Nothobranchius furzeri: one gene and its partner. Each later gene encodes a partner of the first gene's protein in a complex. Links are inferred from orthologs where the notes say so. Each region holds a gene or a part of one and is shown on either strand. Other genes may lie near its edges.

What was found.
Region 2: chd5 (region 1) and mta1 share a complex: the UniProt entries of both Homo sapiens proteins name them as parts of the nucleosome remodeling and deacetylase (NuRD) repressor complex. The link is inferred for Nothobranchius furzeri from reciprocal best matches to the Homo sapiens genes CHD5 and MTA1.

Annotation. Positions count from the first base shown.
Region 1 is NC_091743.1:75,304,938-75,308,762, reverse strand, and holds part of chd5 (chromodomain-helicase-DNA-binding protein 5), read right to left. Parts: intron 1,217-3,825; coding exon 998-1,216; intron 874-997; coding exon 667-873; intron 1-666. UniProt on the Homo sapiens protein: ATP-dependent chromatin-remodeling factor that binds DNA through histones and regulates gene transcription. May specifically recognize and bind trimethylated 'Lys-27' (H3K27me3) and non-methylated 'Lys-4' of histone H3.
Region 2 is NC_091758.1:21,721,345-21,725,169, forward strand, and holds part of mta1 (metastasis-associated protein MTA1), read right to left. Parts: coding exon 3,815-3,825; intron 3,692-3,814; coding exon 3,536-3,691; intron 1-3,535. UniProt on the Homo sapiens protein: Transcriptional coregulator which can act as both a transcriptional corepressor and coactivator. Acts as a component of the histone deacetylase NuRD complex which participates in the remodeling of chromatin.

The DNA of each region.
Region 1 (3,825 bases):
CCTGGTATTTTTCCGGGCCAACCAAGGCTCATTCTCAGCCCTCTTCTCGAGGGGGTCTGCTTCAGGCCGACCAGGGCCAACACACCCACTGCTGACAGTAAATCCACACCTTCCATTAGAGCAAGCCTCTGATTGGTGGGTAGAATCAGCCCACATGGGCTTAAGACAAGGATGTGTGGAATCAACCGGGCCAGGCTGGGGCCGACTGGGGCTACCCAGCCCGGGCCGACCCGGTACAGATGGGAATGGCCCATAACAGACCGGTCCAGATACTCTGAGGTTGCACGGCAGCATTCTGGCCACAGAGGGCATGGGGGTCAGCATGGCCTTTCATTAACCCTGTAAAGGGTCATTTTAGCACATACTGGCTCAAGAAAATGCCTAAAATGTGAAAAATGTGCATAGTATGCCCTTAACAGATTCATTAGAAAATGATATTTTTTAGAGAAATTGTATTGCATTCTACTTTGGAAATAGGACAGTCAGTGACTAAACTGAGTAACTTTTGCTCCTGAAACTAGATGTTTGTTTTTGTGAAAACCTAAAATACCAAATAATGTTCAGTAACCCCCCGACTTTCCTGTGTCCCACATTCATCACAGAAGACAGATCGTTACTGTTGCTAAATGCTGGTTTTGGAAACCGGCTCCACCTCTGGCGTCTCACCTGCAGCTCGCTGACCCAGGAGCAGTGCCAGTACGACAGGCCAGCCCACTTTACAAAGAACTCCCTCTCTGGGCGGCCCTTGAGGGGGGGCTTGGCCATGGGATCAGGCAGCTTGCCAACAGGATGTGCAGGAGATTCCGACGGCAGCGGAGGGTCTCCCCACCTCCAGTGCAGAATCTTCTGAACTTTTCCTTTGAGAGGAGGACACTGAGCAAGAACAGAAGTAATGCATGTTGTTTAAACCACTTAACCAAAGCAAAAAAGGACTAAACGTTGATGAACACCAGCTTGTGAGGATACAGAGCATTAAACATATCTGGACTGAGCTCACCATGCAGCGAGGACACAGCCATTCCCCGTTTGGGATCTCAGGAAGAGGTGGGTTCAGGCAGTGGATGTGGTAGGACGAAGGGCACGTGTCACAGCACAGGAGCTCTCCTCCATCTTTACACACTCTGCAAAACTCCATGTGGTCATCCTCCTCCTCACCTGCAGCCTCCTCTTCCTCCTCCTCCTCATCCTTGGCCTCCCACTGAATTCCCTCCTTCTCCTGAAGATAAAAGGTTACAAAACAAAATGCAACACGTTCCTTCTCGTGAGGAAAGCCACTAAATAAAGCGGCGCCAACATAACTTTGTCTAGATAAGCTATTTTTATTGCTCCATGAAAATATTAAAGTGCATTTTTTAAACAAAGCTTGGAGGATTTTTTGTGCTCAAGTCAAACGTTCTAGAGCACGGTCTGTTTCACAAATTCATTCAAGCGTTAAATATCTCGTGAAACAGCCGGCAACTGTTTGCTCTGACGAGGGTAAACTTCTTTGGTGACAAAAACCTTCATGGAGAAAACCGGTCTGATCTAGACAGCTGGCTGCAGCAAATCTACAAAACAAGCTAGCTTCTAGACAATCTTCATGCCTCTTAACAATGTTTTAACTAGGAGCAGAGCGATGTATCAGCTGGCCGATATCTGATATTTTTATATAATCGGCATCGGCCGACATTCCTCCTTAGTAAAGTCGATTTAAAGTCAGGCATATCCCAGGGCAGCCTGGAGCTGCTGCAGAATTTAAAGGTATATTTATGTTCCTGAATAACATCTGAAATGTTCTAACATTAATATTTAACTACAATTTATTTGTAAGAACCCGTTGAGAATAATTAATTGTTGGTTGGGTAATTGATTTGTTTGACTTTAGTTGGATGTCTGATTTAAACATTGACCAGTGCTTTAACTTTAATTTAGTGTTCAAAAACAGATTCAGCTGCAGACATTTAGTGCATCAGCTCACGTTATTAATGACATTCCAGCATCTAAATAAGGTGGTGGGCTAAACGTCTAGATTTTGGCCGTTACTGGCCTCTGATTGGCTGACAGCAACAGGACTGTTCTGCTGCTTCCAGTCGCTCGTCTTTCTTGGGTAAAAAGTGCAACATTGATGTTTTATCTCCACAAACATCACAAGCATTAACATGTGACGCTATGTTGTGGATTTGTTAATGCTAACAGTTAGCTTCTGCTAGTCAGGACGGGGCTGCGCAGTGGCACAGTGGTTAGAGCTGTTGCCTTGTAGCAAGAAGGTCCTGGGTTCGCTTCCCAGCCTGGGATCTTTCTGCATGGAGTTTGCATGTTCTCCCTGTGCATATGTGGGTTCTCTCCGGGTACTCCGGCTTCCTCCCACAGTCCAAAAACATGACTGTTAGGTTGATTGGTCTGTCTAAATTGTCCTTAGGTGTGAGTGTGTGTGTGCTTGATCGATTGTCCTGTGTGTCTCTGTGTTGCTCTGCAATGGACTGGCTCTCTGTACAGGGTGTACCCCACCCGATTGCCCGTTGACCGCTGGAGATAGCCCCCCCCCCACCCCCCGGCGCGCGACCCTGCGTGGACAAAGTGGGTTCAGAAAATGGATGGATGGATAGTCAGGATGGACTTTGCTCTCTCCTTCCTGGGGGCAGTCCTAAGCCAAGGCGGGGCCATGAATTTCCCCCGTGACATGTAAGAGACTGGCTTTTTCTGACCCAATCGTTTAATTGTCAGTTTCCTTTTTGCAGCTAATGCAAGAATTGGGGGCTGGAGAATGTTTTCACATTCAGCGTGCATGTGAAACTCAGAGTGACCGACTGAATTTCATAAAGAACGATTATTACATGATTTCTCTGAGTCCCATGCCTTTAAAAACAATGAATTAACATTATTTATGTCACTTTGAGGGCTGCGCAGTGGCGCAGTGGTTAGAGCTGTTGCCTTGCAGCAAGAAGGTCCCGGGTTCGCTTCCCGGCCTGGGATCTTTCTGCATGGAGTTTGCATGTTCTCCCTGTGCATGCGTGGGTTCTCTCCGGGTACTCCGGCTTCCTCCCACAAAAACACGATAGTCAGGTTGACTGGTCTCTCTAAATTGTCCTGAGTGTGTGTGTGCATGCTTCATTGTTTGTCCTGTGTGTCTCTGTGTTGCCCTGGGATGGACTGGCTCTTTGTCCAGAGTGTACCCCGCCTACTTGCCCATTGACCGCTGGAGATAGGCACCAGCCCCCCGCGACCCTACATGGACAAGCGGGTTCAGAAAATAAATGGATGGATGGATGGATCGATGGATATGTCACTTTGTACTCAAATTAAGTCTGAAACGACACTTGCTGATTAGACTGGACCCAAACACCAATCTCAGCTTTCATCCAGGAAATCAAGAGCTTATATACTGCTAACAATGATGCTCACGAGATGCAAGAAAAAATGGGTGCAATGAATGATGAGATAAATACAAAACAAGACATTTAGGACCACATCTAAATAATGATTCAGTACTAGCAGACAGAGGATGGTGCAGATGAAATATCCTGTCTACCTGTATTATTCCAAAGGGCTACATATTCCTCTACTTGCATCACCAACATTCTGCTCATCCAGGATGTTGCCCCAAAGCATTGTCTTAATAAATGAGCATGCAGGCAGTGACATAATATGCCAGTTTCTGGGTTACCAGCTCAGTGACCGAGTGGTAATGTCCACCCTGGAACTGGGGGATCGTGGGTTCAAATCCATGGTCAGGTCGTACCAGAGACTTTACAAATGGGACCTAACGCCTCCGTGTCTGCAGCTCACCGCTCCCCCAGGTGATGGGTCGAATGCGGAGAACAAACGTCACACACCAGTGTGACAACT
Region 2 (3,825 bases), on another chromosome or scaffold:
GTGATGGTAATCTGCTACGTAGCCACAGCCCTGGGGAGGTCTGACAGAGACGAGGCTGCCTTTTGGCGCCGTCGGCTCCTCTGACCACCACCAACACAGGCAAGTTGAGTGAAGTGCCTTGCCCAAGGACACAACAGCAGAATACCCCTGGTGGGCGCTGGAATGGAACCCATGACCCTCCGATCATGAGGAAACCTGCTCTACCTCCTGAGCTACTGCTGCCCCTTTAGACATGTAAATAAACATAGTTCTATGAATAATAACAATGCAATAACAAACAACACATGTTCCTATTCCAGCACACACTCCGCTAACGTAAGTAGATCCCTTTGATCTGCTAAATCATTGGAATTTTGTTTTTCATCACATTTAGCTTGTAAATGATTTAAAATATCTTCTACTTCATTTATTTTATAAGAAATATTTTGTTGGATTGTTTGGAAAAAGAATCATAACACAACATAACAATTGAAAGGTTTTGTACTGTTTTAAATACATTTTGACTGGGAAATGCTCTTTAAATGGCTTCTATAGTTTTAGATGTATTCACAAAATTGCCAAACACCAGAGGTGGAAAGTAACAAATTACATTTACTCACGTTACTGTAATTGAGTAGCTTTTTTTGTGTTTATACTTTTTAAGTCATTTTTAAAAGCTGTACTTTTACTTGAGTATGTTTTTTAAAAAGAATTGTATTCACTACATTTTAAATCATAACCGTTACTAAGTAAAAACAAATTATAGGCTTAATAAATTAAAAACATTGCATGTAGCAGCGTCGGAACAGAAAGAGACGCCTGCATGAGCACCGCGTCTAAACCGTGGGGGTGTGGGTGTACACTTTGCTCAAAAACATCAGTTCAGCCCCTGTGATCCACTCGCTCTCTCCCTCCTCTCGTAGGTTGGAACCCGCACCTTCGCGCACCGGTGTTACGTCATCAGAATTCTGCTCGGTTCGGTAGCTGGACTCGGTTCCGTGTTTGAAATGTGTTTCCCCAACCGCTCCGCACAGTAGTGGCAAAATAACGTTTAGCGCTCATAACAAACGGATTCTCAGAGCTTTGCTCATAAAACAGAAGACCTGCAGGCCTCTGAGTTAAAACATCCTGACACTGTTCAGGTGTAAACGTTGTGCTCCATCTCTGTGTTTGAACTCAGAATATGCTCCTTGATGCCACAGATATGTGATGATTTAGCTTGTTTCTTTATTTTACTCCAGAATAAGAGATTAAATTATTACAAAAGCAGTTCAATGTAGTTAAATTAGTCATTGAAATGATTCTAACATGCTGCAGTGTGTGTGTGTGTGTGTGTGTGTGTGTGTGTGTGTTACACATTTAGGATTGCATAAGACAGCATGGTTTCATCAAATCCATGCATCTTATTTCTTGGCTGAAGTAATGGTGAACAAAATAACTTGTATTTCATAAATAATGACGTCTCTGCAGTATTTATGATAATTATCTTATATTGGACTTTTCTTTGGTCTGGGAGGTGTACCATATCATGATACAAGCCTTTTAAAACATGTTAAAGTGTTACAAGAGGAGATAAATGCATGAATTTAAAGTTCATGTTTGGAGACCAACCTTCACAGTTTGGAGGCTCACGCTGGTGAGGAGACACCGTTAGTTCTAGTAACACCTGGGCTCCCAAGGCCTGCTCTGACAGGATGGACGTTACGGGACCCTTAAGCCGGGCGTACACTGTGCGACTTTTTCACTCGCAGCGTTCAGCTTCAGCTCAAACTGTACGACTTCCTCGCAGGGCAGATCTCACGAGTCGTGTGCTCACACTGTACGACCCTGTTCTCGCATGCGACCTGACTGCTCACACTGTACGTCTGGTAGCAACACGTCGGCCCTAAAAATGTGCTAAAAATAGCAGTTTTTACTCAACACGTCAGACTTTTTTGTCTTGCCTGTTGTCCTTCGGGAGTGCTGCAGGAGGACACACAGGGATTTATGGGGGTTGGATGAGGAAAACGAAATAAAGAGAGTAAATCTGTGTTTTGTGATCAGTTTAATTTGACATGAACACGACAAACACGCTTTCTTGACAATCTCTGTGAGTAAAAAAAACGTGTAGAAACAAAAACGAACAGCGTGTGTTATTAGGGAAATAGCGAGCGACCGGCCGGCGTTGATGCAGGATTGCGCGCGCATGCGCCGTGAGCGGTTCTGATACTTTTTGGATCGTAGCTGCTCGCAGCGCCGCTTCAACAGTGCGATACCCTCACGAGGGACGAGCGAAATATTAAACACACCAGAAGTCCCTGCGACCTCACGACTGCTGATCGGCGGCTGGTCACGTGGTGTTAATCGCCTCTCGTAACCCCCTGTACACTACACGACCGCTCGGCGCAAAACTCGCCCCGATGTCGTGGCTTCTCGCACGACTGGAAAATCGGCTCAAAAAAGTGAAAAAGTCGCACAGTGTACGCCCAGCTTTAAGGATTCCAGTTGGATGATTGGAGGATTATTTAGGAGGATTGGAATGAACAAACCGATTTCAGTGGTGAAGGGTTAAATGAGTGAGTGAACCCACTACCAAGGATGAACTCTAACTTTAAAAATCAGCTGCTCTAAATAAGCATGAAGGTCAGAGAGGAGCTCTAGGATGGACATAGATAAAGGAACTGTAATGTAGAGGTAAAGTAGGGCAGGGCCAACGTTAGCGGCTGTCATACAGTCCATTTGAAATGTTCGAATTTTATTTAGCTTGTTATGTTATGTGACAGGTTAGAGCACAGTCTCATGTTACTTTTGTCATGAGAACATTGAGATACCTCACATGCTGATGGGAGCTAAAAAAAACTCTTTATTTTTTCAAAATAAAGATTTTTAAACACAAATCCTAATACAAATACAATCCTAGAAAAACCTCGTCCAATCAATGTGCACGTCCCGTTCTCACTGATTGGATAGAAACCCTTCCATCAAACAGTGAGTGTGTGTACGTGACACGAGCGTGTTGTGAACTGGTGTTGTGATTTTGCACCGATGTAGCCATCTTCACGCTGACAAAAATGTAACCAAGTAACTTTTACTTTGAGTACATTTTATTTACGATACTTTTTACTTGTACTTGAGTAAAAAATTATCCAAGTATTGGTACTCGTACTTAAGTAGGAAATTTTAGTACTCTTTCCATCCCTCCCTCAGGGAACCCAGCCATCTTCATCTTTCCCTTGCTGCCATGTTACCATGACAACAGTCTTCAGCTAAAGCAGCAAGGGTGCTCCAATCTCCTCCTCTCCATCTTTCTCCAACACATCCTCACCTTTTCTCTCTCTACCCTGTCTCATTTCAGAGGGAAAGTGGGACAAAAGCTCAAATAAAAACTTGATTCACGTTCAAGTTTCCACATTTAAGCATTAAGTTAAGAATTATGAAAATACCTTTAATTATGGCATGAATAAAACTTAAGTTTCTCCAGTCAGCATTAAGTGAAGTAATTTAGATTATTTCGGGACATATTAGCAAACATAACGAGTGCGGTAGAGCTGTAACAGGAGCTCTCTGTTCCACTGACCATCCAGTCCGTTGTGCTGCTCATAGGTGCGTTTGCCTAGGATGGTGGGGGAGCCGTTGTTGAGGATGGGGGACGGCTTTATGGGCATCAAGCTGCCTGTGGAGATGGAGCATCCTCGGGTCAGGGGTACGGGCTTGGGTGGACGGGGATGTGCTTCTGTAAAGTTAGACAAACGATTTCATCTTGCTGATTAGACTAAATCTGTCCAAATCAGCAAATAAAAATCACTTGATAATAAAAAGCACCTCCAGATTCACCAGGTGCGTGGTTTCTTCTTACCTAAGTACCGG